Stegostoma tigrinum: one gene and its partner. The protein of the gene in region 2 interacts with the protein of the main gene of each other region in a biochemical or structural test. Links are inferred from orthologs where the notes say so. Each region holds a gene or a part of one and is shown on either strand. Other genes may lie near its edges. The genes, in order: adrb1 and magi3a.

The links.
Region 1: the proteins of magi3a (region 2) and adrb1 interact in a test that uses a peptide from one of them, tested with the Homo sapiens proteins (2 studies listed by IntAct, with this or other methods). The link is inferred for Stegostoma tigrinum from reciprocal best matches to the Homo sapiens genes MAGI3 and ADRB1.

The regions. Positions count from the first base shown.
Region 1 is NC_081373.1:23,470,192-23,486,671, reverse strand, and holds adrb1 (beta-1 adrenergic receptor), read left to right. Parts: upstream 1-7,532; 5' UTR 7,533-8,003; coding exon 8,004-9,236; 3' UTR 9,237-10,494; downstream 10,495-16,480. UniProt on the Homo sapiens protein: Beta-adrenergic receptors mediate the catecholamine-induced activation of adenylate cyclase through the action of G proteins. This receptor binds epinephrine and norepinephrine with approximately equal affinity.
Region 2 is NC_081374.1:3,663,991-3,680,523, forward strand, and holds the start of magi3a (membrane-associated guanylate kinase, WW and PDZ domain-containing protein 3a), read right to left. Parts: upstream 8,205-16,533; 5' UTR 8,114-8,204; coding exon 7,837-8,113; intron 1-7,836.

The DNA of each region.
Region 1 (16,480 bases), on a different chromosome or scaffold from region 2:
CTCGACTTCTGCCTACGGTAAATGGGTGAAACCGGCTGGTTATCAGATGAGCAGGGCATCACTGAGGTATGGTGCCGAGTTGATGAGGTGAATTTGGGATGGCTGTGAGAGAAAATTCTGGTCTTGCAGAGATAAACTTTCCATGAAACTCAACCAGAATTACGTGTGGCCAAATTCTGTTAAGATTCAGCCCTCAGTTACATTTCATCAACAAAATGTAACTTCTTGTTTTTTAAAAAAATAATGACATTACAGGAGAAAAGAAGAATTGCTACAGCAATTTTGAGATTTCCAGGTTTAACAAAGACGTGATTTTAGTTACACAGAAGCATAGAAGATAGGATCAGGAGGAGGCCATTCAGCCCTTCGAGCCTGCTTTGCCATTCTTCACAATCATGGCTGATTGTCCAACTCAGTAGCCTAATCCTGCTTTCTCCCCATAACCTTTGACCCCGTTCTCCCCAAGTGTTATATCTAGTCACCTCTCGAATACATTCAATGTTTTGGCAACAACTACTTCCTGTGGTAATGAATTCCACAGGCTCACCACTCTTTGCATGAAGAAATGTCTCCTCATCTCCCTCCTAAATGGTCTACCCCAAATCTTCATACTGTGACCACTGGTTCTGGACACACCCACCATCAAGAATATCCTCTCTGCAGCTACTCTGTCCAGCCCTGTTAGAATTTTATACGTCTCTATGAGATCCCTCCTCATTCGTCTGCGCTCTAGCAAAAACAATCCCCACCCTAGTCAATGATAACGGGAACTGCAGATACTGAAGAATCCAAGATAACAAAGTGTGGAGCTAGATGAACACAGCAGGCCAAGCAGCATCTCAGGAGCACAAAAGCTGATGCTTCGGGCCTAGACCCTTCATCAGCTCTCTGATGAAGGGTCTAGGCCCGAAGCATCAGCTTTTGTGCTCCTGAGATGCTGCTTGGCCTGCTGTGTTCATCGAGCTCCACACTTTGTTATCCAACCCTCGTCAATCTCGCTTTGTATGTCAGACCCGTCATCCCTGGAATCGGCCTAGTAAACCTTCGCTGCACTCCCTCAAGAGCAAGCGCAACCTTCCTCAGAAAAGGAGACTAAAACTGCACGCAATATTCCAGGTGTGATCTCACCAAGGCCCTGTACAAATGCAACAACACATCCCTGCTCCTGTACTCAGAAAGTGATGATGAAAAATGCCAAAAGTCTTACAGACATTACAATGTCCAGGTCTTTGAAATAGATTGTTTATATTAATCAATATCTGAGTAATTTAAAAGTCGCAAACATTTTCATATTTTACAATTTAATAGACAAAAGAAAAATAACACACACTACTTGTTGGACAACATCATTACTCCAATAAAATATTAAATATTAGTAGGAACTTTGATGCAAGTTTAGACATAAATTTTGTCAGACTCTTTTGCATTTTGACATCATAGGTAGAATCTTCCATTCTGAAATATTAGTTCTTACTATCTCTGCTGTTGCTTGCTGACCAGTTCTGAAGAATCGTTACTGGACTCCAAAAGTTAACTCCGCATTCCCTCCAAAGATGCTGCCAGACCAGCACTAAAGAAAACATGATTTCCTCTCAGGACCGTTTCATGATTATGCTGCTGTCAGTGCAGTGCATGTTGTTGTGTGAGAAGCGTGGATAACCTTGCTGTGAGGCAGGCAGCACGTCAACGCCCCTGCCATTACATTATATGGTTGAAGACCTTGGTGTCATTTTTGAAAGGCACCTGGAAGGGCATTCACACCCTACAAGCCAGGAACATCACTTGGGTTCTCAGTCTGCAGCTAAACATTGACTCTTTCACACTTCTCCAGTCAGCCTTCTGAGCTTGGTCAGTGTCCTTAACCAACACCCATTCCGCTCCAGCCTCCACCCTCCCCTGGTCATCATCTAGTGACCCTCTGTAACATTGACTGCCAAGGCATGGCATAAGTGAAAGAAGATGTGATTCACACTAAAGGTCACAAAAATGACACCTTCTGCATGCTACTTCCACAGCCATGAATCTGAAGATACGTAAAGTTCACTCTTAAAACTTATTTGAGAAGGACAAGTTAATTCTGTTGAGCTCGCCTGTTAATAAGCATGCTAGACACACAAAAGGCTCCCTGACACTTGCCTTCAAGAAGCTGAACCTGCCTTTAAAATTGTAAAACTGTAAATGCTGACTTTCATCCTGTTGGCGGGAATGTTATTTTTGTCTCCTTGCCCAGCTACGTTACCTTACCCCATCCTGTTTTCCACTGCTGGAAGTAGCAGACGTTCCTGCTCTCATTTAAGAAGATAAAACAAAAGAACCGCAGATTCTGGAAATCAGAAACAAAAATCAAAAATTGTTGGAAAAACCTAGCTGGTCTGGCAGCATTTGTGGAGAGAAAGCAAAGTTAAGCTTTGGAGTCCAGTAACAATTCTTCAGCATTGGTCAGCAAGTAACAGCAGAGATAGTAAGAACTGCAGGTGCTGGAGTCAGAGATAACAACATATGGAGTTCAAGGAACACAGCAGGCGAGACAGCATCAGAGGAGCAGGGAAGTTGACGTTTTGGGTCGGGACCCTTCTTCAGAAAACAGCAAGTGTCAATTCTGAAGAAGGTTCACTGGACCCAAAACATTAACTATGCTTTTTCGCCACAGAAGTTGCCAGACCTGCTGAGTTTTTCAGCAAGTTCTAACTTTGTTTCCACTCTTCATTATGACGCATGCTTAGTAAGATTGTTAAGGGTCACACAATGTTTAGGTAAATGGTACTGTGATTCCCAACACATCAGTTGTACTTGTTCTTCCTATTCTCTGGTACAATTACAGACCTCCTTACAAGTCATTTTTTCAGTATACAGAAGCATAGAATCCCGACAATGTGGAAGCATGCCATTTGGCCCACACCAAATATCCAAAGAACATCCCACGCAGACCCACTTCCCTGCCCTTTCCCTGTACCCCTGCATTTCCAATGGATAACCCACCTAGCCTGCACATCCCTGGACACTATGGGCAATTTAGCTCGGCCAATCCACCTAATCTGCACATCTTTGGACTGTGGGAGGAAACTGGAGCAGCCCCTCTGACACAGGCACCCACACAGACACAGGGAGAACGTGCAGAGTCCATACAGACAGTCGCCTGAAGATGGAATATAAACTGGGTCCCTGGTGCTGTGAAGCAGCAGTGCTAATCGCTGAGCCACCATGCTGCCCTATACTTACCTCCAAATGCATTTCAGTGGCTGTATTAACTTACTTTACATTTAGCTAGCAGAAAGGAATGTTTCTGTTTCCTTATCACTGGCAACACTGGGACAATTCTGCATAAATTACAATTATCTCAAATTAACCATTTCATATATTATCATTCGACACAACTGAAGAAACACAGACAGGTATCATCCTCCAAAGCAAATGCTGTTCACCACCTCTGAATTTACTGATTACATTGTCCGGCAAGAATTGTCATACAAATATAAATACGAGTGGACGATTTTTATATAATCTCTTTTAAATATGCATTTTGGAGAAAATATTTTAATTATAATGTTTTAATTATAATTTCAAATGAGTGACAACATCTATCATCTGACCCATAACTAGGACATTCACAATTCAGTAGAAAAAGAAGACTTGCAATTATCTATATGCAAATAACATATAAATTGATTTTGATAATCTCATGTTGTCCTAAACTGCTTTATAAACAATTCTGTGTTTTTGAAGAATAAACAATATGTACCAAGAATACAAGTTTAAATTAAACATGTTAGAAAATATTTCCCACATACATTCAGATGAGGAATTCTATTCCACTTATTTGATCTTCTCCTTTGAAATATCAAACTTACCAATGTCCCATGACATGCTTTCACGTTGTCCTTTTTTAAATAATTCCAGTGGCCAGCCTTAAATATGCTTCCTGCCTTGGTTGACTCTTTCAATTCTGATCAATTTCAAAATAAAGAAATTATTCTGATTGTCTCTGCAGATTTAAACTCAAGATAATTTGGCATATAATGTTGTTCTTGAACAATACTACATTCCACAGTTTATGTGAATGTCTAAATAATTAAAATCTCTTGATCTCTTTAAATTCCCACTTTGGCTAGTTTGTTTCTTTTTAGTAAATGACATTTTTCTCTATTGAACTTTATTTGCCATAGATCAATACAGGTGCAAAGCTCTGAGTTTCCTCAATGTTATTTAGAGTGCCTCAAATAGATTATTTTAAAACAACAGTTTTAAAAATATGGTACAAAATTATTACAGTCATCAGAATTCAGGGAAAAAATATTGAAAACAATAGGATATATATGGTCCAAAATAGTTTGATTAATACATTATCAGTTTAAATTATTTAAGACATTTAGAAAGAAAATATGGTATTCAATCCCAGTGTATACTGCACAAGAGTCAGAAATATCAAAAAAAATTTTAAGATCACCTAATTCAAAAGTTGTCATTTTGCAATTGTTCAATTATCAGTACATATTCAAACTTCTAAATATACAGTAGAATTTGAGAAAAAAAATTCATGATTGGAAAAGGAAAGATCTAATATATACCCTGATCTACTCTATTGCAGTTGCTATCTGCATGGATGACCTGAACCAGAAAATTAAGCGCAAAAAAATAAACAGGAGAAAACGGCAATGTACAATTCAATCTGTAAATGATACAGAACTCAACAGTAGTCAACAGGTTCACTGACACAATAAAAATAGATATCTCACACCTCTTTCTTATGTTAAATGAGCTGGGATAAGGAGGCAGCACAGCATGGAATGAGTTAACAGGCAGGTATGGGAGGCAGTGAAATATTTCCAGAACTGTTTATTTATTTTTATATTTTTAAATTCTAATGAGATTACCATACAATTAAGATGTGTCAATTATTGCCTGTGAAAGATATGATTGGAATTCAAAATATAGGGCTTAAAAGGTATTGTGTTATCCTTGCAATTACAGTTAACATTGACATGAATAAAGTATTTAGATGACTGCAAACATGGATAACATTAATAAGTTGTGTTTAGTAACTTGAACAAGACAAACATCATAAAACAGAACTAGAATAAACATCTAGTGCTATAAAAGTGAAAACAAAAGCTTGCAAGAGTTCTGTATCATGTGTTGAGTCATAGATGAGTCAAGCATTTCAGTTTCTGATCAGAGCTTTTGTTGACCAGCTGCAAAATCTCTTGTTCTGAGAGGTGAGAATGAGCGTTATTGAAAGGGATTGTCGATTTAAGTCACTACTGTATAAAACATAATTTCAAGAACATGGAGGATAAAAGAGTACTCAGCACACCATACCTTAGACAGTTCTGAAATCATTAGTGGATTCCTTTCTGGTGCAAACAATGTTTTTGTCCTGCCATTATGCAACATAATGACATTTTGTTTCATAGGCTGCAATGGAAGATGAATTGACATTGAATTAACTGCAAGCTGAAATTGGCTTCTTGGTAAAATGAAGAAATAATGACACATAGACAAATCCGGACTGAGCTCCAATAACAACACCTTGCAGATTTATACTGGCTCCCCTGCTGTATTTACAAATGATGTGGAGCATTTTCCGATTAGTACATAATTTACTGATAACACAAAACTAGATGTTAAAGTGATCAATATTGGAGAAATTTGATGAGAGTTCAATGGCATCTATGCATTATGCAGGGGCAGAGAAATGACATCTTAACTATGAAGTAACTTTTAAAAGTTTTTACATGATCCCATGATTAACTGTTAGTTTCTCAACCAGAATGTCATTGGCCTATAAACATGATACATCTGAAAAAAGTAACTGGGAAACTATTTTTCATTTTCAAGTGTTATTTTATTTCAGGTATTTTTCTTCTTGTCATTCTTTTTCAAAGGGACTCACTTTAATTAGGTTTTAATTGATTCAAATATGGACTCCAGAATTGTTCGAAAGATATCGGAAGTTTTGAAAGGGAATGCATGACTGTTGATGAAACTTAATGGGTATTCCTTCTGTAATGTCACTACAAAATAAAAGACCATTCTGTCCGAGTATCTAGATCAGCATTTTTCTCTACTTGAGATGCCTTATTTCTTATTCCTCCTTACACCACTTTTCCAAACAACTTTCCACTTGTGAAGTAATTTGTAGAACGTTTCAGCAAATATTACGGGCAGTGTGTGAATATTTGTTTTATTTCCACCATCCTTTTTTCATCTGTCTAACCGTGCATCTTAAATTTCTACTACTCTGGTCACCCAGTCAATAGCCATTGGAATATTCTGACTCATCTTTGGCCAGGGACAATTTTGATAAAACAGATGAGCTTCATTGGAAATACCAAAAACAAAAAATATTTGGATGGGACTGTTAGCCAATTAACAAAAGTAGCCAGGTCAATACATAAAAGTTTTTAAAAGGCTCTGGGACACATGTCAATGTACTTGAATAAAAAGTAAAACCTTTTTTTGTTATCCTGCATTGTAGTCTGGTACTTTTACTTGGAATATTGTGCAACATTTTGGTGCAGTGAAATTTGAGTGAGCTAAGGCTGTTTGGAGAAGGGCAATATAGCATTTCTTTCTGGAAATCTAAACACGCCAAAAGCAAAGAACCAGAACTAAATTAGTTCTCATTCCAAAAATATTGGAAGCATACTTGCCCCCATCAAAAGATTAATAGCAAAGATGTAAGTGAATTACGTATTTGAAGTAATTAGAGAATGAGAGTACGAATGCAGAATTGGCAGGGTTGCAGGGTAAGTCAGAGGAACAGAAGATATTGTCCCTTTCAACAGAATAAGCCATCAAAAATGTTTAATGCAATGTCAAACAACCACTTTAAAAAAACTGGATGAATACTTCAGTAGTAAAAGTTGACGAACGCTGAGGAATACCAGTCCAGTTCTTTTAAAGACCTGGCACAGACTCCAATAGACCCCTTCAGTTCTGATTGATTCTGTCACTCTCAGGAATAAGTGATGTGGTCTCTGTCACAGAAATGCATTTTGCGGTATACGATTGGTCAGGGTTGAAAATCGGACGCTATCAATAAGAAAATAATCTTTCACTTGTTCATTCTCAGGGTTTAAAGTAAGTTTCATAGTTTTATAAAGTTTCGGGAATTCTATTAACATTTTATTAGATACTTAAATAAAAATGTACATAAAAGTGTAAATTGAACATGGTATATTGAATAGAATGGGCTTCGTGGACCTAATTCCTTTTGGTTATTTACTTTCTTGTGATAAGATAATCCTCCTGTTAAATGGCTTAAGGTCTGAAGTGTAGTTTTAGTTTGAGTGAGAAAGCAGAATGAGGGACTAGCAACTTGTGAACAGTCAGCGACCTCAGGATCCATTCCGAGTTCTAAATCCACAGCAGGGTGTACGTTCTCTGAACTGCAGATAATCTTCTCAAACAGTTCTGATATGGAACTGGGCGGGACCTCTTCCACTGCTACTGAAATTCGAGCTAGCAGCACAGTCTATTCCTGGCCCCCCAAAAATATTTACAGGGACTTACCGTCACTCCCCGAGTGGTTGTCAGCACATTAATCCACGTGAATTCAAAACTAAATAAAAAAGGAAAGACCCAGTGGGGTAAACGTTTGGAAATGAACATTGTGATTAGTCCAGTCTCGTGTTTCTGTAAAGTTCAGGTATTTTCGCCAGGATTTCAGAAGCTGCTTTAAAATATATACCAGAGATAACTGATTGGGGGAAAAAAGTTATCTTTTTCCTCTCTCCCTTAACTTGCACTCAGGGCACCCTCATTGAAGTTAATGCTCTCTAAATGGAAGTTGGAGATGTGGCGTCAGGAAGAGGCTCATTGGAGGAACTCTGTGTGCGACGTGAAAGGGGAGGGCGCTGTGCTGCTCTGACCCCCCAGCTACAGGTTGTTGGTGCCGCCACAGCCAGAGGATGAAGGAGGACAGCACCACACACAGCATCTGCGGGGACAATCTCCGATGAAAGCGACGTGATCTCCTGGCTCGGTCAGCGGCACTCTACACAATGGGAGACCGCCTGTCCTCTGAGGATTGTCACACTAACAAATCCAGCACCATCCTCTTTGTTAATCCTGCAAACGGGGTAAGTCCACACGTGCCTCAGCAAGAGTTCTCTGAGCAGTGGGTGATAGGGATGGGCACAGTAATGGCCAGCATCGTCCTGATCATTGTCCTCGGAAACCTCTTGGTGGTTTTTGCCATCGCCAGGAACCAGCGGCTGCAGACGCTAACCAATGTTTTTATTGTGTCTCTGGCCTGTGCAGATCTGATTATGGGCTTGTTGGTGGTGCCTTTCGGGGCGACCTTGGTCGTGCGAGGTAACTGGTTGTACGGCTCGGTTTTCTGTGAAATCTGGACTTCGGTCGATGTCCTGTGTGTGACGGCGAGCATCGAAACTTTGTGTGTGATCGCCATCGACCGCTACGTGGCGATCACTTCCCCGTTCCGCTACCAGAGCTTACTGACGAAAGCCCGAGCCCGGGCCATCGTGTGTGTGGTCTGGCTCATCTCTGGCCTCATCTCCCTGCTGCCCATCATGATGCACTGGTGGAGGGATGACCAACCCGACGCCATCCGCTGTTACAATGACCCCTGTTGCTGTGACTTTGTCACGAATAAAGCCTACGCCTTGGCTTCCTCCATCATCTCCTTCTACCTGCCTTTAGTCATCATGATCTTCGTCTACGCCCGCGTCTTTCAAGAAGCCAAGAAGCAAATGAAGAAGATTGATAAGTGCGAGGGCAGGTTTTATACCAGTCACTTCATCCCAAACGGCAGGTCAGCTCGCAGGAGACCCTCCAAGATTATAGCCATTAAGGACCACAAGGCGTTGAAGACTCTGGGGATTATTATGGGAACATTCACCCTGTGCTGGTTACCCTTTTTTCTAGCCAATGTGGCGAAGGCTTTCCGGACTGACATCGTGCCCGGCAAACTCTTTCTGTTTTTCAACTGGCTCGGCTATGTCAACTCAGCTTTCAACCCCATCATTTACTGCAAGAGTCCAGACTTCCGAGCCGCCTTTAAGAGGTTACTGTTCTGCCCCGGCCAGACAGACAGTAACAGGCTGTGCACGGGCTCCGGGGAGTTCTCCCGGTGTTCGGGCGTGTTCGGCAACACTCTGGACCCGAGGAGCCTGGAGACATGGTCAGAATGGAACAGGAGCCAGGAGCCGAACGGGGGCGGTTTGGACAGGCACATGGGCGAGAACCCTGACGACCAGGAGTCCCAGTTCTAGCGCGGGTGGAGTGCGGGCAGCAAGTCCAGCTTCTCAGACAGAAACGTTCAGGTTCCGTGGAGAAGACAAAAAAAAGCGTTGAAGACAGAGCAGTGAGTGCGGGCGAGCGGTCCCACACCCACTCAGTATTGTAGGAAACAGGCATTGAAACCCAGCACAGACCAACTCCGCGGTGGATTCCTGCCGCAAGCGATCGTTCCCCGCAATTCTGGAGAACGGAAGGCCAACGTAGATTAACACTAAGGTTTGGATTCGGAGCGATCCTAGACTGTAGCAGCGGACACGCTTTGCCAGGATGCGCTGACTTTCATCGGACGAAACAGCAGCCCACCGTTTTGCAACAAGAATGGTGTGTCCCGCTTAAATCACATTCCATGGTCAGAGGCAATTTCCAACGTGGATTAAAGAGGAGCTCTCGGTTACATGAACAATCGCCGTGTCCCCAAAATAACGGGTCGTTAAGGTCATTGTGTTATTATTTTCAACGTTTTGGATTATGTTAAAGAGAAACCACAAGTTTCATTTTAAAACAATTTGAATAAACAAAGGTCCACCGTCTAAAACAAAATATTTCAGATTTTCTAACAGCTGGTCAATGATCTGTCAGTGACCGACGCCTCGTATAGGAGTGGACATTCGGAGCAAGACATGGATCCAGGTGTTGCTGCCAATTTCGTGAAACCGCTCTCTCTCACTGTAAGACTGTGTTTTGAATAACACTACCTCCAGCTGTACAGATTGTGTACAGATCTATTTATATCAACCATTGTTTATATTAAACAAATCGCATTTTATATATTTAAAAATAGACAAAGCGACACGCAACCTCAGAGTTGACCAGTAGAAAAGTTGAATGAATAGGGGTCAGTTACTTATTTAATTAATTTAAATTCCACACAGGACCAACTTCACCTGCACTTTCCTAAGTGTGGAAAGTTGGTATTTCTCAGTACGAAGATTATGTGCGGCACGTTGTTAACATTGGTGAATATTTTACAGCGCATCTTAGTATGGATAGAACCAAGTAAACATAAAACTCCGGGTAAGCTTTCGAAAATGAAGCATCGGAGTGCAGAAAAGGGTACTCGTGTCGAATGGTGATGTACTGCAATGTTTGCCTGATAAGCCAAAAAAGCGTTTCCCCACCCACTCGATATGAAATTCACGTTCAGCTGTGTGATGTATTTGTCACAAAGTCTGCTTTCTCGCACATATTTATATAAAATGTGGCTCAATAAAATGTGTGGATATTTGGTATATGTGCAATAAACATCATTTAACATTACACGTGTACATTTATATAACTTACTCCAAAAGGTTGATAGCAGTGCTTGCTCGCGCTTCTACTGTCATTCACATCACAGGCCTGTTCCCAAGAACTATTATTCAGTGCACGTAATTTGTTTCTGTGGGTGTTTTAATTTCTAGTATCATTTAAGTTTGCAATGTACATAAATGCAAAAAGCAGCAGGTTATTCGAGTGAAAGAAATGGTGTACAAGTTTTAACCAATGCCTACCTCCAGCCTGATATAATTCCTTACAAATGTCACAGCATGTTTTTGGTCTCGCTGGAGATAAAATAAGACCAGGTTATTGCCGGCTTCAGGTTACATTCGGAATGCCCACGTTTAACCGACGTTGAAACCAGTAGTCTGGCTTACATATTATTACCAAAACTGCGTTACACTCGTCAAGTTCATCAGGGACGGTTCATAGCTCGATCTTACGCTAATTTATTTATTTTCTAATCAATCTGTTCAAAGCTGTAATGATACACGTTTGGCTTCCTAGCTCAGAGATAGAACGTTACCACAGCACCACAACAGCCCCCTTCCGCGCTATTTTGTTTTCCTTTTTCTATCATTGAGAGTGAATTTAAATTGGCAGAAGACTGGCATTAGTAACTCAGTAGGAAACCACGATGGATCACCCACTCAGCTGGAGATGGTGCAAAAAGGGAGGCATGGTGGTTCAGAAGTTAGCACCGCTGCCTCAGCGCCAGGGATCCGGGTTCGATTCCACTCTCGAAGCCTGCACATTCTCCCCGTGTCTGCGTCGGTTTGCTCCGGTTTCCTGCCACAGTCCCAAAGTAGACTGGCTATGGGATAGTACCTACGGATATTTAGGTTGGGTGGGTTAGAAATGGGGTAAGAGTGGGATGCTATTCGGAGGGACGGTGTGGATCTGCTAGACTGAATGGCCTGTTTCAGCGCTGTAGGGATTCAATGAAAACGCTGGAATTGGCCTGCTGTGTTCATCCAGCCTCACATTTTATTATCTTGGAATATCTGTCATGCTGTTTTATTTTTCAGAAAGATTGAGTCAGAACAACTGTGAGGATATGTACTAATATTGCTTTCCGCGACCGCTAAAATTTATTGCTTGTTTGGCAGCGTTAACATTCCTAACTGATTAATGAACAAACAGCAGCAAAATGAACTGGGAAAGGTTCCACATGACAGACTAATTAGTAGTTGGGTCACATAGGATTCAGGGTGAGCTTGCCAATTGGATACACCAACCTCCCATCACAGCTCAACAGTGGCAAAACGCAGATAGAAGAGCCGCATTTCCCACGAGTCAGGAAAATTGTTTTAAAAGTTAAGAGATGACAAAATATTCCAAAAGTCCACTTCGAAAACGGCACGCCAGTTCTTTTTTCCCCTTTAGAATTTAGAATTTAGTTTAATAGTAAAATAGTTTAGAATTTTCCATTTTGACTTGCGTGTGATGTAATGCAATATTTGAAAAGATCGAAAACTAAAAGGGTTACAGAAGTGCCTCAGTTTAGCATTGGATGTAAAGCAGATTATAAAAGTGACTCCCAAGCCGCCTCGCGTTGCTGTACCGCCCCCCTTGTAGTTCCATCAACAATTTGACACAGGCATTTTCGAACAGAGCTCCTGAGGAGCGGGTAACGCTACCATCAGCGCTGCAACGAGCTTCTGCAGGAACCAATTCAATTCTATCGCCCGTGTACTCTGCCCCAGGCAGTTTCTTGGCTCATTGGTTGCCGAAGCCTTATTCTAGCCACTGTGGCCTGGCAGTTTTTGTCAGCAGTGGTTTATCCTTGCTCTGGGCGAGGAGGGGGGTGGTTGGCAAGATAAGGAGGCAGGAGCAGGAATGGAAACCACATCGCTGACACTATTCTGAACTCATACATCATTGAACCACCATTAGACAGTTCTTACTGTGGAGAAGGAAACGGGGTCTGGAGAACGCAGAGAAATAAACTTTGATGTTTTCAAAACAGTTCATATTACAGAAGAGGATGTTCGGGAGGTCTTAGAGAATATAAAAGTGGATAAATCTCCAGGACCTGATCAAATGTGTCGTAGAATGTTGTGGGAAGTAAGCGAGGAAATTACGAGGCCCCTTGTGGAAAGGCAAAGTGCCCGATGACTGGAGGATGGCTAACGTTGTACCTTTGTTTAAGAACGATTATAAAGAGAAACCGGCGAATTGTGGACCTATGAGTCTGACTTTGGCTGTGGGTCAACTGTTGAAGATGATTATAAAAGCTAGGAATTATGGACATTTAGAACGGCAAAAGCTGATTAGAGACCATCAGCATGGTTGTCTGCAAGGAAAACCATGTCTCACAAACTTGAGTTTTTGGAGGAAGTTACCAAAAAAGGTTGATGATGGCAGAGCAGTAGACATTATTTGCTTGGACTTGAGTCTTTGACAAGGTTCCACATGACAGACTAATTAGTAGTTGGGTTACATAGGATTTGGGGTGAGCTTGCCAATTAGATACATAATTGGCTTAACGGCAGGAAACAGACAGTAATGGTGGATGATAACAAAGTGTGAAGCTGGATGAACACAGCAGGCCAAGCAGCATCTCAGGAGCACAAAAGCTGACGTTAAGGGTCTAGGCCCGAAATGTCAGCTTTTGTGCTCCTGAGATGCTGCTTGGCCTGCTATGTTCATCCAGCTTCACACCTTGTTATCTTGGATTCTCCAGCATTTGCAGTTCCCATTATCAGTAATGGTGCAGGGTTGCTTTTTGGACTGGAGGCCTGTGACCAACGGTGTTCCAGAGGGATTGCTTCTGGGTCCTCTTTTGTTTGCCATTTATATAAATGATTTTGACGTGACTATAGAAGGTACGGTTAGTAAGTTTGCAGATGACACCAAAATTGGTGGCATTGTAGACAATGAAGAAGATTTTCTAAGATTATAAAGGAATCTTGAGCAAATGGGTCAATGGGTTGAAAAGGCCAGATGGAGCTTAGTCTGAATAAATGCAAGGTATTGCATTTTAGTACAACAAACAAGGAAATAACTTATGCAATCAATGGCAGTGTTGTAGAACAGAGAGATCTAGGGTACAGGTACATAATTCTTTAATGTATGCTTCACATATAGCCAGGATGGTTAATGAGGCATTAGCCACACTCACCTTCATTGCTCAGACCTTTGAGTATAGGAGTTGGAGTGTTGTACAGGACATTGGTGAGGCCTCTTCTGGAGTACTGTGTCCAGTTCTAGTTGCCCATTTAGAGGAAGGATCTTACCAAGCTGGGGAGGGTTCTGGAGATTTGATGGTTGCCAAGTGTGTAAGATTTGAATTCTAAGAAAAGGCTGGATAGGCTGGGATTGCTTCCACCAGAGTGTAACCTGATAGAAGGTTATAAAATAATGAGTGGTGCAGATAAAGTTGATGGTTGTTGTCTTTTCCATAAATTGACGAATTTCAAAACTCGGGGGCACATTTTTAAGGTGAGAGGAGAGAGATTTGAAAACGATGAGGCAATTTTTTTTCCCACAGAGGGTGCTTTGCATGTGGAATGAACCTTCCTGATGAAGTGGTGGATGCAGGTGCAATCACAACTCTTAAAAAGATGTTTGGGTGGATAAATGAGTAGGGCTGTGAACCAGGAGTAAGCTGGTGGGACTAGTTTAGTTTGGGATTATGACTGGCATGGATTGGTTGGACCGAAAGGTCTGTTTCCATGCTGTATGCCTCAATGACTCCATAAAAATGTACTACTACTTTAAAATGAAAATAAGAATAAAAATGTAGAAGCTAATTTAGGGTAGGTAGGCACAGGGTAACACTATTTTTAGAAAACAAGCATAAATATAACTTTGGGGGTAAAATCACACTACCTTTAAGAAGGCTGCAAGCTCCTCCTACTGTGACTATGAATGGTTTTTAAATTCCTTCTTCTAACAATGGCCTTTTCTGGCACTTTCTAATTGCCTTCAAGAAGGTGGCAGTGAACAGTTTTCTCGAAGTGCTGCAGTCCATGTGGTACACCTGCTTCCCAGTAACAATAAGAGAGAGAGCTCCGAGACTTTGACTCAATAGTTAGTGCCAGAACAGGGACATCATGGTGAATGCCTAACCTTGCAGCTTGCTTTAATGTCCAATGGCACAACAGGGATCACTCCCAGGTCCCCAGGTAAGGTTCTGTGGTTCTGGGTTCGAATTTCACCATGGCAAATGGTGTCATTTAAATTCAATTTTCTTTTAAAAAATCTGAAATTAGGAGTCAAATGATGACTATTATCCACTGCCGATTGTCAAAAAACCCCATGTGGTTCACTAATACTTTACGAAAGGAAACTGCCATCTATATCTGGTCTGGCCCACATGCGACTCCAGATCCATAGCAATGTGGTGACTCCCAACTACCCTCTGGGCAACAAATGCTGGCCCAGCTAGTAACTCCCTCATCCCATTAATGAATAAAAAAAACTTCAGTCAGTCCATCACAACCAAATAAGCCAGTGCACCATAAAGATTTTCCTAACAGCAGACATCTGAATCCAGTAACAGTACAGACCCTGCTTTCACAGAAAATTGATCATCAAGGAAAAGCTATCACATGAACAAAGTAATGGGATTCTTTTATGAAACTACCACATTGTCACAAAGATTTATGTGGTGCACTAATATTCTTTCACCATGGCAAATGGTGTCATTTAAATTCAATTTTCTTTTAAAAAATCTGAAATTAGGAGTCAAATGATGACTATTATCCACTGCCGATTGTCAAAAAACCCCATGTGGTTCACTAATACTTTACGAAAGGAAACTGCCATCTATATCTGGTCTGGCCCACATGCGACTCCAGATCCATAGCAATGTGGTGACTCCCAACTACCCTCTGGGCAACAAATGCTGGCCCATGTGATAGCTTTTCCCACTGATTGGGCACAGGCAATAAATGCTGGTCTTGCTGGTGCTGTTCACAGCCCACAAAAGAATTTTTAAAAAAAATTGATCTGTCTATCTACCATATCCCAGAAAGCACATTTTCATTTTAAAGTAGTAGTACATTTTTATGGAGTCATTGAGGCATACAGCATGGAAACAGACCTTTCGGTCCAACCAATCCATTGTTCATGTGATAGCTTTTCCCACTGATTTAGAATCTTTAAACCTATGCTTTCTGGGATATGGTAGATAGACAGATCAGTTTTTTTAAAAATTCTTTTGTGGGCTGTGAACAGCACCAGCAAGACCAGCATTTATTGCCTGTGCCCTAACTGTCCTCAAGAAGGTAATCAAATAGCTTGCTGGCCATTTCAGAGGGCTGTCACATTGTTGAGAGTCTGGAGTCACACAGACTAGATTAGAAAAGGAAACTTGTCATCCTTACCAAAAGAATATTAGTGCACCACATAAATCTTTGTGACAATGTGGTAGTTTCATAAACACCAATACTAAGATGAGCTTTATTTTTCAGTTAATTAGTTAGATAAACAGGAGACAAGAAGTTGAAGTGTTTCATCACAAACTCATCAGAATTAGGATGCAAGAAATAGACTTGAAAAAAAGACACCATTTTATATATAATATGTGAGATGAGGGTACTAATTGGCTGTACTATCATTGGCAGTTAACTGTCAATCTTAATTCTCAGACCAGACAGATGGACACTAATTGGGCAGGGTATTGTCATAGGGGTGCAACAGATTTTTACTCTTTTTTTTCCAAAAAGGTGCAATGCATGTCTAAATTTCTTTTGCCTCCATAAAACAGGGTCCTGATCATTTACATTGCTTCTAGCATGTGCAAATTGTGGGCCTAGCTAATCCTAAATTGGTTTTTGGTATAATGCTTGGCAGCACAGTCCAGATTATTTAATAAATGGTTTCTAATAACAGAATTACATCTAATGGTAGGTATACTTTTCTTAGCCATGCTGAACTGACCTGTGCTTGAGAGCAATAGGTAATTATATCCACTATTAAATGCAATTCAAACAATGCCATGACCAATCGA
Region 2 (16,533 bases):
AAAATTGTATCATCAAAACTCTGTGGCTTCTAACTATCATGCCATGTCACCAGAGCTGCAGTAAAAGGAATCCTAACCGAACCCTCTTCTGCAGCAGTGCAGCCTCCTCCCTGACCTCTCAAACTCAGATCGAACCATACCTCTGAAGCATAAACCCCTAATGAGCAGCGGACATTTGTTCCCCCGAGTGTGATGTACCACACTCCCTTACTTTGTGCACTTCAAGTGTTTTACAGGCAACGAGTTTTTGGCAGTCACAGATAGGCCTCACTACAAAGTCTACCAAACTAGTACAATCTTCCTAGAACCGTCATCCACAACTGTCTGACAGGCAATCAAGTGCTTTAAGTTCAATCAATGTTAATAATATAGGAAACATTGTGGTTGAATACAGTTCTGCTGCTAATGGTAGCAAGATCTGTAACCTGGTCACCCAGTATTTCCCCAAGTCTGTCATTACACCAAGCCAGTGGACAAACTTTTGTTCAATGAAAAGTACAGTACGGCATGCCAGGAACAGCACGGGGCAAACGTAAAAATCAGGTATTAACCTAGGATTATTTGCACACCACACAGCAGAAACAGCATGCATTCGGCAAGGCTAAGTGAGCCCAGAGCAAGCAAATTAGATTTAAGTTCCACAGTCTTGCCACATCCAGTCATAAACAGTGGACAATTAACTCAAATGAAGGAGGCGACTCCACAAATGTCCTCCTCCATAACCAGCTTATACAGATATGCTGTAACACACCCTTGGTGCAAGTAGGAATTTAACCTGTCCCCAACTTTGGGTTGTGGGTTACATTACCACTGAGCCACAAGAATGCTCTAGTGCTTCAGGGTAGTGTTCTAAACCCCTCCATCATAAAGTCAGAAGTGGGGATTTCACAGATGATTGCACAATATTCAGCAACATTTAACTCAGAATTATGGAATCCCTACAGGACTGAGGCCATTCGGCCCATCAAGTCCACACCGACACCGCACCTCCCCTACCCCAAAAGCATCTTACCCAGACTCTCACCCTATCCCCATAATTACACATTTACCATGGCTAACCCACTTAGCCTGCACACTATAGACAATTTAGCATGGCCAATCCACCTAACCTACACACATTTGGACTTTGGAAGGAAAACAGAGCACCTGTGGAAACCCATGCAGACATGGGGAGAATGTGGCAACTCCAAACAGACAGTCACCCATGGCTGGAATTGAACCCAGGTCCCTGGCACCGAGAGACAGCAGTGTTAACCACTGAGCCACTCTGCTGCCCCTCAGATACTGAAGCAGCCAGTGACCTTAAACAACAAGACTAAGACAAATTCAAGATTTGTGGTGACATGTACAAGGGAATGAGCACCTTCAACAAGACTGAATTGAACCATCTCCCACTGACATTCAATGACACTACCATCGCCACTTCTTCCGGTGCAATTATGGATGGGCAATAAATGCAAGCATGGCCAGCAACCCTCAGATCCCATGAATGAAATTTAAAAGTTACCTGGCAGATTAACATCGAACTGAAACTGAACTGGATCAGCCATATCAATACAACTGCCATTAGAAAAGGGTCAGTGCTACTCACAGTGGCACTTAGTTCAAATGAACTGAGGCAATTTCCTCTCTTTGCGTTTCCCCAGTCCCAGTCCATCATCCAAAAGGCAGAAGTCACGACTGTGATAGAGTGTTCACAATTTCCATGGATGAACATAGCTCCAGCAACACAAAAACCACCCAGAGCAAAGCAGATGGCTTGAGTGGTACCTCATGCATCACTGAAGAACAGTGGCAGCGGTGTGTACCATCAGTAAGATGTATGAGGTGTACAGTAGCAACTCACCAAGGTTCCCCTGACTGTACTTTAAACCCCACATTCTCTACCATCTCTAAAGAGAAGGGCAGATGATGTTTGGGAGCACCACCACCTGCAAGTTCCTCTCCAAATCACTCACCATCCTGACTTGGAGAAATATTGTCATGCGTTCACTGTTGTTGGATCAAATCCTGGAATTCCCTTCCTGGCAGCGTTGTATATGTCCCCACATTCCGAAAACTGCAGTGGCTTATGAAGATAGCTTACCACTACTTTCTCCAGGACACGTAGGGATAGGCAATACATGTTGGCACTGGCAGCAACACCCACATCCCATGACTGAGTAAAAGAAACAAAAACATGACCAATTTGTATGCAAAATTTTGCAAATAGTCTAGTTATCACAGTGCTATCTGTTTAAACAATGGTGTTCAAGTGACAATACTTGACAGACACTTTCCCTGTTCCTCAAATTGTACTTTATGGATGTTGAAGGTCTCACAGCAATATAAATATTTTCTAATCAGCCTGTTGATAGATGTATTACACCTCGAGAGTAGGTGGAAATTGAACTCAGGCCTCCTGGCACAGAGGTCAGGACACTACCAATGCATCTCAACAGCCCTCAGCCGATAGAAATATAGACCTCACCCAAATGACGACACCTCCAAATGCACAATTTAAAAACTCCTGATACAGAAACAGACGACAGCTCTGCAAACAAGTAACATACTCTGGGACAGCCAACAGATTTACAATTATTTAAAAAATCTAATGTTCTGAGGGAATACTTAACATATGCTGAAAGTTTAACATCAAACAAGTCTCAGAAGCACACTGAACACCCAAGTGGATCAATTAGGGACCCGAGTAGTAATACAACTCCACACCCAAATAAGAATACCTGAGTTTCAAAGCAAGAAAGACCAGGATTCAATGAATTCACCTTCAACCATCCTGGTAGGCACATGAAACAACACGAGTTTGCTGACAGAACATGACCACTGCAATTAGTCAATGAGTCTACAACAGATCCAAATACAAGGCAAAGAAAATAACAGAAGATAGCTTTGGAAACAACTGTGCAAATTCACCCACTCTTTCAGTGCATTTCACTCAAACATCTTAAATTACTCAGTACAGATCTCAAAACGTTTTTTGAAAAAATCTTTGGAATCTATATTTTAAGTGAACCTGAATCAATTGATTATTGTCTCCCCAGGAAGCTATAATAGAACAATCATTCGTCCACTTAAATCACACAACCAATGGCTGCCCGATTCATACTGAATTTTCCCCATTTTAAGTGGAGGTACTGTGCCCTGGTTCTATTGTTCTAGCCAAGGTGAACAAGTTAGGTATGGAGGAAATTACCCAGTCCCTTCAGAATGCAAAACAACAATCTCATCATCTCTCAACATTCACGTCTGCAATGAGAATCTACATGAACATTCGAATTTATTCTCATTCCTCACTAAGTCTCCTGACAGATAGCAGAATCATACATTGATCCCATCATCTGCTCAATGGACAAAACCAATATTATCAAACCATTGGCCATCAGTTTACTACAGTGATGAATGGACAAAAGAGGTTTGTTCCCTACGTCCTTGTTCTCTCCCACCTCTATTCGCGTACTCCGGTGGGTGGGGGTATGGGGGTGGTGAGACATGTGAGAACAAATGTAACGAACTTCATGTCCTCAATGTGGATATAGAAGACAAAACAGGGCTCTCCCACCCAGACAGGAGAATGAAAACTGGGAATAATCCCTTTACAGCAGAGATGAGACAGCCAAACGACAGGCTGACAGAACCGCTTATTTCAAAGAGCTGTCTGACCTCAGGGGAAGATTGTCCAAAGACTAAGGTGATTTTTGGTAATGCTTATTACACACTGAAAAATCTAATTCTGTTTAAAGGTAAAACGTACACAAATGGTCTACATTGCACTGGCTGGAGATTAGCAGGTTCTTAACCAGAAGCAGAGATTTCCACTGCTTGAGTACACATTTACCCTATCATAAACAAAAACAAATTTGTTTCTGATTTCCAACATCTTGTCTGCTTTTTTTCTTAAACCCCATTGTCACAAGTTTTGCTGTAAAACAAACCAGAGTCAATGCTATAGCCCATCCATACCAAATACATAGAATTTTAACTTAGTATCCTAGTTAAAGGGCCATTTCCTGGTTACCATTTTTAAAAAGAAAATTGAAACTTGGATAATAGTTGATAACACACATCTGCCTAAGTATTGAGACAAGAAACTATCTTATCTTAATTGCTCATGGGACAAGATTACTAGCATGTATGGCACATAACTGCCCCTGAACTGAATTTGCTGAGGGACTGAAGTCACATGCAGATCAGATTGGGTAAGAATTGCAGATTTCTTTCCCTGCGGGTCATTAATGAAGCAGATGAGCTATTAGTATGTCAACAATAGTTTCATTGTCGCCATTCCAGAGTCTAGCTTTCAATTCTAGACTTATTAATGAAATCCAAATTCTACCAGACACCGTTATGGGATCGGAACTTATGCTGCCATTAGCCTGGGCCACTGGATTAAAAGTCTAGCAACATTGCCAATACACCTTCATCTCTCCCCCCTTGTAATATATAATTTCATTACTATATCATTTAATTCACTTTTCAGCATAAGACAAAGAATGTATTCTAGGGAGATTTTTTTCCTATTATTCCTGCATGGTCTTTCTGCAGAAAAGTACTGATCCTGCATCCAGCAGTTGACCATAGCAGATTGGTTGAGCTAAGACATGGTGAATTAAATCACTTCCACAAACTCAGTGCGACATCTCAGTATGTCAATCAACACTCGCTCATTGGTACAGTAGCAACCACAAGCAAGATAAAACATTTGTTCGATACATTGTTTAAGTACATAACCACTCAAATCTTTCTAACCATACATGTCAGTCTGTGTCTCCTCCCAGATCACTTGTTCACAATCCCTAGTGAACAGACTGACTTAGGGGTGCAAACTAACTCTAAACAAAAACAGAAATCGCTGGAGAAACGCAGCGGGTCTGGCAGCATCCATGGAGAGAAAGCAGAGTTAATGCTTTGGGTCCTGTGGCCAGAAGACAGTCCTGAACAGCCAGTGGACCCAAAATGTTAACTCTGCCAGACTTGCTGAGTTCTTCCATCAATTTCTGTTTGTGTTTTGGATATCCAGCGCGCGCAGTTTGTAGTTTTATCATTACAAAATCTTTTCTGTTTACTTCCCTTATTTGCTTCTCCCACTTTCTCTTCCATGTAGAGATCCTGTTATTTCAAATTCCTAGTAAACAATTTCCGATATTTCTTGCAGTGCTGTCTCCAAGATTTCATAGTCTTCCCCAGTTTATTCTCTTCCCACTCAGTCTTCAGTGTCTCATTGCTGCCTAGACCCTCTGCATTCCTTCATTCCCATTCACTTTTCCTCAAAAGCATTCTAACCAGTTAGCACTGCACGCTTCCTTTGACAACTATATATCATTCCATAATCAGTTCTCTCAGCCCTTCTCACCATGCTCCCTCTATCAAAACTCTAATCCCCAAAACCCCCACTATCTTTAAATCTCCCATCCAAACTCCCCCACTTTACACAGCCCTGTGCAAACCCCAACCCTCACTCAGCTTGAACACTAACTCCCCCCACCTCCAATTTCCCCACACACACTACCCTTCCCCACTCACCAGCCACCACAGCTGGTCCACTCCACTTAACACATCTCCTCCTTCAACCCCAAACCCACCCACTCTCCTTTTACTTCAACCTCACTACTCCATTCTCCCTCATTCCCCTCCCCAATCTAGCCCAACTTCACTTCTCCAATCCTTCTCACTACCCTACTCCAACCTCTGCTCCTCACCCCAGTCACTCACTCCCCAACTCCTCACTCCCATCAGCCCACTCCCTTGCCCCATCACCTCTCTCCTCCGTCACTGCCAGCCTTTCCCCTCACCTCCCTTCCCAACCCCCATTATTCCCTAAACTCCCTCCCCCTCCCTCCCACTCAACCCTACACCTCCATCCCCTCACCCCCCACATTCACCCAGCCCAACATTTTCCCCATGTCTAAGCCCACGCCCCCTCACCCCTTCACTACCCACCCCCGTGCCCGGCCCCCCCCCTCACCCCTTCACTACCCACCCCCGTGCCCGGCCCCCCCCCTCACCCATTCACTACCCACCCCCGTGCCCGGCCCCCCCCTCACCCATTCACTACCCACCCCCGTGCCCGGCCCCCCCCTCACCCCTTCACTACCCACCCCCGTGCCCGGCCCCCCCCTCACCCCTTCACTACCCACCCCCGTGCCCGGCCCCCCCCTCACCCCTTCACTACCCACCCCCGTGCCCGGCCCCCCCCCTCACCCCTTCACTACCCACCCCCGTGCCCGGCCCCCCCCCTCACCCCTTCACTACCCACCCCCGTGCCCGGCCCCCCCCCTCACCCCTTCACTACCCACCCCCGTGCCCGGCCCCCCCCCTCACCCCTTCACTACCCACCCCCGTGCCCGGCCCCCCCCCTCACCCCTTCACTACCCACCCCCGTGCCCGGCCCCCCCCCTCACCCCTTCACTACCCACCCCCGTGCCCGGCCCCCCCCCTCACCCCTTCACTACCCACCCCCGTGCCCGGCCCCCCCCCTCACCCCTTCACTACCCACCCCCGTGCCCGGCCCCCCCCTCACCCCTTCACTACCCACCCCCGTGCCCGGCCCCCCCCCTCACCCCTTCACTACCCACCCCCGTGCCCGGCCCCCCCCCTCACCCCTTCACTACCCACCCCCGTGCCCGGCCCCCCCCCTCACCCCTTCACTACCCACCCCCGTGCCCGGCCCCCCCCCTCACCCCTTCACTACCCACCCCCGTGCCCGGCCCCCCCCTCAACCCTTCACTACCCACCCCCGTGCCCGGCCCCCCCCTCACCCCTTCACTACCCCCCCTCACCCCTTCACTACCCACCCCCGTGCCCGGCCCCCCCCTCACCCCTTCACTACCCGCCCCCACCCCTTCACTACCCACCCCCGTGCCCGGCCCCCCCTTCACTACCCGCCCCCACCCCTCACCCCTTCACTACCCGCCCCCACCCCTCACCCCTTCACTACCCACCCCCGTGCCCGGCCCCCCCCTCACCCCTTCACTACCCGCCCCCACCCCTCACCCCTTCACTACCCACCCCCGTGCCCGGCCCCCCCTTCACTACCCACCCCGTGCCCGGCCCCCCCCTCACCCATTCACTACCCACCCCCGTGCCCAGCTCCCCCCTCACCCCTTCACTACCCACACCCGTGCCCGGCCCCCCCCTCACCCCTTCACTACCCACACCCGTGCCCGGCCCCCCCCTCACCCATTCACTACCCACCCCCGTGCCCGGCCCCCCCCTCACCCATTCACTACCCACCCCCGTGCCCGGCCCCCCCCTCACCCCTTCACTACCCACCCCCGTGCCCGGCCCCCCCCTCACCCCTTCACTACCCACCCCCGTGCCCGGCCCCCCCCTCACCCCTTCACTACCCACCCCCGTGCCCGGCCCCCCCCTCACCCATTCACTACCCACCCCCGTGCCCGGCCCCCCCCTCCACTACCCACTCCCGCGCCCGGCCCCCCCCTCCACTACCCACTCCCGCGCCCGGCCCCCCCCTCACTCTCCCGCCTCCCCTCACCCCTTCACTACCCACCCCCGCGCCCAGCCCCCCCCTCACGCCTTCACTACCCACCCCCGTGCCCAGCCCCCCCCACCCCTTCACTACCCGCCCCCCTCCCCTTCACTACCCACCCCCGTGCCCAGCCCCCCCTCCCCTTCACTACCCACCCCCGTGCCCAGCCCCCCCACCCCCTCACTACCCACCCCCGTGCCCACCCCCTCACTACCCACCCCCCCCACCCCTTCACTACCCACCCCCGTGCCCAGCTCCCCTCACTGTCCCGCCTCCCCTCACCCCTTCACTACACCCTGCCCCGTGCCCGCCCCCCCCTCACTCTCCCGCCTCCCCGGCCCACCCCTCACCTGGCCTCACTGTCCGCACTCGGACGGGCTGAGCGAAGTGCCTGATGACGGCCCGGACATCGCGGCGGGTCAGGCCGCTAACCGGGGTCCCGTTGACCTCGAGCAGGATGTCTCCGGGCCCAGGGCTAGGGCCGGTCTCGGAGCCGCTGAGCGGCGATGCCAGCACCGGGAACTGGCCAAACTCGGCCCCGCCGCCCAGCGACAGCGCGTCTCCGGGAACGGCCACCTCCTGGGTCCGGCTCAGCCAGTGCCGCCGCCGGCGGAGAGACTTCGACATTGCGGGGGTGGGGCTGGGCCGGCCTGGCCGTGCCCCAGCCTCCCCTGTGCCGGGTCTGCCGGTGTCTGTCCGCCGGGGTCAGTTTGTGTGTGTTTTGGGGGGGGGGGGGGGGGGGGCGCTCCCGCTCCGGGCTCCTGTCACTGACCGCGGGGCCCGACCACCACAGCCGCTGCTGCTGCCTGCGTCATTGCGTCACTGCGTCCGCTCGCCACCGCGACGTCAGGCAAAGGGGCGGGACACGCCTTGACCAATCAGAGCCCGCTTCCCCCCCCCGACCTGCCCACCCGCCCCCTTTCGACACCGCCCCCGAATGCCGGCCCCGCCCATAGACCTATCCATGCCCTACTCTTGCCGTCACTTTTATTCCTCGACCCAGTTACTGCCCATTGACCAGGGTGTGTGGTCACTGCCCGTTGACTAGGGTGTGGGGTCACCTCCCATTGACCAGGGTGTGTGGTCACTGCCCGTTGACTAGGGTGTGGGGTCACCTCCCATTGACCAGGGTGTGGGGTCACTGCCCGTTGACTAGGGTGTGGGGTCACCTCCCATTGACCAGGGTGTGGGGTCACTGCCCATTGACCAGGGAGTGTGGTCACTGCCCGTTGACTAGGGTGTGGGGTCACCTCCCATTGACCAGGGTGTGGGGTCACTGCCCGTTGACCAGGGATCGGGGGCGTAAGTGCCCATTGATCAGTGAATAGGGTTATCAGTGCCTATGGACCAAGGATGGGATCATTGTCCACTGACCAGAGCATGGGTCAGTGCCCTTTGAACACGGAGAAGAATCACTGCCATTAAGACTATAAGATATCAGAGCAGAATTAAGCCATCCTGCCCATCGATAATAGCTGATATGTTTCTCAACCCCATCCTTCTGCCTTCTCTCCTCAATCCTTCAGCTCCTTACTTACCATGAATCTATCTGTCTCTGTTTCAAGTACACTCAATGTCTTGGCTTCTACAGCATTCTATGGCAATGAATTCTACAGATTCACCACCCTCTGATAGAGGAGTTTCCACCTCATCTCAGTTCTAAAGGGTCATCCCTCCACTCTGAGGTTGTGCCCTCAGATTCTAGTCTCCCCTCCTGGTGGAAACAACTTCTCCAGGTCCAGTCTATCCAGGCCTCTTAGTATTCTGTAAGTTTCAATGATATGCCTTCTCATTCTCCTAAACTCCATTGGATAAATCAATCATGAAATGATCTGAGACCCACGTGCTAAAAGTTGTGTGTGTAGAGTATGTTACCCATTTCAGTCTCAGTTTTTATAACACTTGCCTATCACACTTTCAGCATCATTTCTTTTCCAACAGTCCTGACCTATCACATGATAAAAACAGTGGCAAAGCTGTGAGTAATTAATCAAAAGTCTTCCATGTAATACAGGCTGTCTGTAAGAATGCAATTCACATTAACATCCAGAGAACTATAGAACATGGTGAAGAACAGATGGATAGAAGATGTAAAGAGATATCAAAAATGATTACAATTATACAAACAAAAAATGCATTAAAAATACACAACGAATTTATAATGCATCTGTGATCTACAAACACAACAAAAGGTGCTTTATGGGAGTATTAGTAAACACAATACAAAACTGAGTCAACTAATCAATTTTGGGTTAAATGAGCAAAAGCTAGGTTGAAAGGGTTAATATTAAGAACTGTCATTAAAAAAAGAAGCAAATTAGTGAACCAAAGCAATTAATTGATTGACTTTATTCTCATGTGTACCAAAATGCAGTGAAATCTGAAAAATCTGGGATGTACAACATTCCTGTACTGGAGGAGTACTGAAATCTCAGAGGGTCTGGGATGGCAGATGACAGAGATAGGGAGGGGTGAGACTGTGGAGGGACTTGAAAAACAATGAGGCTTTTAAAATCACTGTGTTGTTCAACAGAGACCTGGTATAAATTGGTGATGGCAGAGTTCAGGCTGAATGGGACTGAGTTAAGTCAAAAACTTCTGTGCAGCTGAATTTTGAAAGACAGAAATTTTACAGAGGGTGGGACAAAGCAGTGCCATCAAATAGTCAAATCTGGAGGTAACAAAGGTGAGCTTTGGGATTTCAGCAGGAGAGTTGGGAGACGTTGTAGTATTGGAAATTGACAGAAATGAAATACAGAAATATGTGTAATATGTAATGGTGTCATAGTAAACAGCCACTCGCTAATAAGATTGGGTGTCCACTTCAGAAATTCTATGTCACTGCTCATGAGTTCTGTGGTTCCTTGTGTGGCTAACAAACCCAATCCTAGAGCCACTTCTCTGTCCACACATTTAGCAGCTGTTTCCTGGAGGTGAACCTGGTTCTTGGCCTGGAGATCATTGGCATTCCATTCTCCCATTACTTTTCCATATTTCTTCTTGACGACTGGTGTTCTCAAAGACTTGTGGCCCTTCGTACAGGAGCTTCATCCAGGTCAATTTCTTTTGAACGTGTGTCTCCTATGCATTGAAATCGATGTTGCATTTCTTGAGGGAGGCCTTCAGGGAGTCTTTGAAGCATTTCCTTTATCCCCCTTTCATTTGAGTGCCTTCCTTAGGCTGGGTGAAGATGATTGCTTTGGTAGTTGGAATTTAGGCATCCAAATACATGGATGGCCAATGCAGAGTTTGTTTCAGATGATCATGACATCAATGCTGGTATTTTTGCCTCCTCTAAGGGCACTAATATTAGTTTGTCAGTGCTCCCTGCTGATGTAGGGAATCCATTTCCAGCAACACTGATGGTACTTCTCCAGGGGTTTGAGGTGGTGTCTTCATATTTTCCAAGTTTCAGAGCCCTACAGAAGGTCAGAAGGATAACTGCCTAATTTCATAATGATCTTGGTGTAGGCACAGATATCATAGTCATTGAAGACTCTGATCCTTAGGCATCCAAAGAGAGCAGTCACAGATAGGATGCATTGTTGAATTCCCACATCAATGTCGACCTTAGATGACAGCTGGCTTTTCAGGCAGGAGAAATATTCCATGTTTGGGAGGAATTCTCCATTGATCTTAGTAGAGGGATGGACCAGAATTTGACCTGAGAAGAGTTGTTAAGGGATTTGAGGTTGACGTTGAGATCCAATTCCTCCATGTAATATGTAATGGTATACATAACACATAGAAATACATCTAACACTCATCAATGTTTGCCAGGGTTATTTAATGGTTAGGTTGTGCCAAATGCTGCAATCACATTTATTCTTAGTGACCTTAGTCCGCATCAATAAACATTTGCCTTATTCTAATAACTTTATACCCCTTCAAAACTGATTGTCCATCTGAGTGTGGTGACATCACACTAGGCTGCATTCAGCTTGTTATTGACACAAGTTTATACAACGAGACAGGGGAACAAGAACGCTGACCATAGCCTGCACTACACCCAATAAACAACAACACTCAGCCATCAGTTTGAATTGATGCAGTTTTTAATATTTATGTTCAAAATGCAGGAAATCATAGATTACAGAAACACATAATGAGACTGCAGGAACAGGTGTATGAGCTTTGATAGCACTAAGCACAAAGCTTGGGTTAATAATTACTGAACGGCACAAAGTTTAAACTGAACAGGTTGTTCCCTATTGCACTCTATTGCTTTATGTTTAGATTTGCACTCCTTGATCCAGTGTTACAAATGCGTCTAAACAACTATTGTCGTTTGGAAACTGAACGAGCAACTTCACCCAAGTTGTTGTGTGTTCTGTTGTTGGCGACGGTTTCAATGATTTATTTCACTCAGGTGAGGCAGGCAGCTTACAACTGACTGCATTGTAAAAATCCGCACACACTTGCATCGAGATCAACCATTAGGACATAAACGTTACATAGTGTTTCAATGCAGTACAACGGTGCAGTGTGTAAATACAGACTGTGACAGTGCATTGTGACAACGCAGCACATCAACGTAGCGTTGCTGTAAACTATGAAAATGTACTATCTCAGTGCAATGAAACAATGCAGTGTGTTAAAACCATACAACAGAGTGACAATGCAGTGTGAAGTGTAGTCTGTTAGTCCAGAGAGACAATGCAGTGCAACTGGGGTGTGACAAGACAGTGTGTCAGAGCAGTGTGACAGGGTAGTGTGAACTGCTCTGTGATAGTGACAATGAAGCACTCCATGTTGGTGTGACAATGCAGTGTGCCACTGTAATATAACAATGTAGTTTGACAGAATGGTATGTCAGAGCATCATGACAGGAACACTGCAGTTCAGAGGAGATTCACAAGATTAATTCTACAGATGAGTGGTTTGTCTTATGAAGAGACATTGAGCAGTTAAGGTCTATACTCTCTTGAATTCAGAAGAATGAAAGGAGATCACTTAAGGTAGCTGATACACTAAAGGGGATTGATAAAGTAGACATACAGCACATGTTTTCTCACGTGGGATAATCTAGAACGAGAGGTCACAGTTTTTGAATGAGGGGTAGTAGAATTTAAAATAGAGATGAAGAAAAATTACGTCTCTTAAAGGGTCATGAATCTGTGGGATTCACTCCTCCGGAATGCAGTGGATGCTGGGACATTGAGTAAATTTAAGAAAGAAGTAGAGAGATTATTAATTCCAAAACCTTAGAGATTATTCATTAGCAAGGGGGTGAAGGGTTAAGGAGAGCAAGCAGGAAAGCAGAGTTGAGGCCGAGATGAGATCAGCTATGATTGTTCTAAATGGTGGAGCAGACTCGAGGGGCTGAATGGCCGACTCCTGCTCCTTGATCTTATATCCTTATGACAAAGCACCATGTCTGTGTAGTGTCTCAGTGCAATGTGACACTGCAGTGTCAATGCTTTGATTGATTGAGGATTAATGTAAACTCAGCATACTGTAAAGAGCTCTTCTTCAAATAATGGTCACGGAATTATCACCATGTAAAGGGCAGACCAGCCTTCCCATTTCCCATCAGCTCAGAGAGAGCAGCACTTCCTTCCTCAGCACCTCACATAGGAATGCTGATCAACACTGGCTGGCTTCACATGAAAAGTGGAAATACTTGACTCAGTTTTTTAATGAGAGCTGGCTACAGACTCCGTTCCACAGAATACTGCTCACTGACTGGGAGGTAGTTGGTCTGTCATTGGAACCTCTGTCCAGCTGGTCAGTTTCCAGCTTTCAAATGCAACCCAGTCATCATCCATCTGCTGCTTCCAGCATTCCTGCTATATCCTGGAGCACACTTGAGTGAACTCGACACTCCCAACTCTGGCTGCTGATCCTGGATTTAGTCTCTAATAGTGCCTGTCATTTTGTCCTGGATTCCACATAGGCCACAGCTGGGGAGCTGGGGTGGGGCTTATAGGAAAGATGTTGTTAAACTGGAAGGGGTGCAGAAAAGATTTAGAAGGAGGTTATTGAGACTGGTGGGTTTGAGTTATAAGGTGAGACTGGATAAGCTGGGATTTTTTTCACCAGAGAGTTGGGGGATGAGGGGTGAAATTATAGAGGTTTATAAAATCATGAGGTGGGGGAGGCATAGATATGGTGAATAGCCAAGGTCTTTTCTCTAGAGTAGGGGAGAAAAAGAAAAGGTTCTCGAATCGGAGAAAAAGAAAAAGAAGAAGAAGGTTCTCGAATCGAAACGTCAAACTTTTCTGCCTCTCTGATGCTGCTTGGCCTGCTGTGTTCATCCAGCTTCACACCGTGTTATCTCAGATTCTCCAGCATCGGCAGTTCCTACTATCTCTGCAAATAATTGTGGCCAGTTTAGTTTGCGAACAAGGTCGGTATGGACTATTTGGACTGAAGGGTTGGTTTCCATGCTGTATATCTCTATGGCTTTGTGATGCTATAACTGGGAGCTAATGGTTCAGAGGGAGGGACGCTACCTGCTGCTTCTTGTGTCAGTGGCTGTATGCACAAATCTGGGCAATCAGGGGTGATTACTAGGGAGGTTTATGATAAATTGCATCCCCTTCAGGGAATTTAACATTTAAAATTCTTCCGTCACATGTTGGAGTAAAATAGGAACCTATCCAACCATTACTTTTATGAAGCAGATGATATGAAAAAACGTTGAAATATTCCTGTGATTTTCACGGCCCATTGCCAAGCAGGTGACTATTCTGCAGTCCTAAATTGTTTAAAGTTTAAATAACAAAGTTTAAAATTCTCTATTGCCAGGCCTCCTGTATTTCCTCATGGGATGTGGGCGTCGTTAGCTGGGCCAGCATTTATTGCCCATTCCTTGACCTGAGTATCTCACCCAACCATTTCACTGCCAAACATATTGCTGTGGGCCTGGAGTTATGTGTAGGGCAGCCAGGTTAACAATGACAGATTTCACTTTTTATCTCTGAGAGTGCAGCTCCTCCTTGCTCAGTACAGGATTCAGATCCAGATGAAGTTTTGATAACATTCAGCCAAATCTAATTCCAATTTTTATTGAGTTCAAATTTCAACATTTGCTGTGGCAGGACTCAAACCCAGAACATTAGCTGGGTCTCTCTGAACGAATAGCATTGTGACATTACCACTACACCACAGCTTCCCTTCATAACCATGGTGACACAGCTTTTTCACCTTAGGGAGACGCCAATCCTTGTTCCAATGCTGGTTCAGGGGCTTTCTCATAGTTGGCAGTGAAGGATCAGCCACAGATAAATATCAGAATAATAGGACCTTATCTTAGATAACCAGATAGAACTTATTTGAAACTATATATATAATCCTTGAAAGTTGCCACCCAGGTTGACAGGGCTGTTAAGAAGGCATACGGTGTTTTAGCTTTTATTAATAGAGGGATCGAGTTCCAGACCCAAGAGGTTATGGTGAAGCTGTACAAAACTCTAGTGCGGCCGCACTTGGAGTATTGTGTACAGTTCTGGTCACGGCATTATAAGAAGGATGTGGAAGCTTTGGAAAGGGTGCAGAGGAGATTTACTAGGACGTCGCCTGGTATGGAGGGAAGGTCTTACGAGGAAAGGCTGAGGGACTTGAGGCTGTTTTCATTAGAGAGAAGAAGGTTGAGAGGTGACTTAATTGGAACATATAAAATAATCAGAGGGTTAGATAGGTTGGATAGGGAGAGCCTTTTTCCTAGGATGGTGACGGCGAGCACAAGGGGGCATAGCTTTAAATTGAGGGGTGAAAGATATCGGACAGATGTCAGAGGTAGTTTCTTTACTCAGAGAGTAGTAAGGGAATGGAACGCTTTGTCTGCAACGATAGTAGATTCGCCAACTTTGGGCACATTTAAGTCGTCATTGGACAAGCATATGGACGTACATGGAATAGTGTAGGTTAGATGGGCTTGAGATCGGTATGACAGGTCCGCACAACATCGAGGGCCGAAGGGCCTGTACTGTGCTGTAATGTTCTATCTATTCTATCTATCTATACAGGTTACATTACATTGATCATTGAATCTTTAATGTGCAGAAACAGGCCATACAGCCCATTAAGTCCTAACCAATCCTCTGAAGTGCATCCCACCCAAACCACTCCCTCTAAATCCCTGTTGCTCTACATTTCCAATGACTAACTCACCTAGCCTACACATCCCTGGGCACTATAGGGCAGTTTACCATGGCCAATTCACCTAACCCACACATCTTTGGGCTGTGGGAGTAAACTGGAGCACCCAGAGGAAACCCACACAGACACAGAGAACATGCAAAGCCCGTGCAGGCAGTTACCCAACACTCGAATTGAACCCAGGTTTCTGGTGCTATGACGCAGCGGTGCTAACCACCGAGCCACTACGCCATCCACAATGATAACATAGAATAGTTACAGCACAGAAAGAGTCCATTCAGCCCAGCTGAATAAACCAACCACCCATTCTAGGGAAGGTGCTGGCCTAGTGGTATTATCACCAGATTATTAATCCAGAGACTCGAATGATGTTCTGGGGACTGCACTTGAATCACCGCCATGGCAGATGGTAGAATTTGAATTCCATAAAAACCTGGAATTAAGAGTCTAATGATGGTCATGAAACTGTTGTTGATGGGGATGGGATGGAGAGCCAACCAGCTGGTTCCCTAATGTCCTTTAGTGTTGGCAACTGCTGGCCTACATGTGACTCCAGACCCACAGACATGTGTTTGCCTTCTGGGAAATTAGGGACTGGCGATTTATGCTAACGCAACCAGCAACACCCACATCCTGCAAAAAAAATCCCCAAAAATTCCTACGTTCCAGCCCCTGGTCTGGGAGCCTTGTTGGTTCCAGTAGGTTCAGGGACCGTGCAGGCTCCTTTTTAATGAGTTGAGGGCTTCCATCTCAATCACCAAACCGTGCAACAAATTCCAGACACTCTCTGCCCTCTGGATAAAGCAGATTTTTCTCATGTTCCCCTTTAAACCTTCTACCGACAAACACGAGGTATTGAATGTAGCTCATGTCTCTCTGAATAATCGCAAAGGCACCTCAGGAGTTTCAGACAATCTGTCCAGTTGTGTATTTCATACACCAGT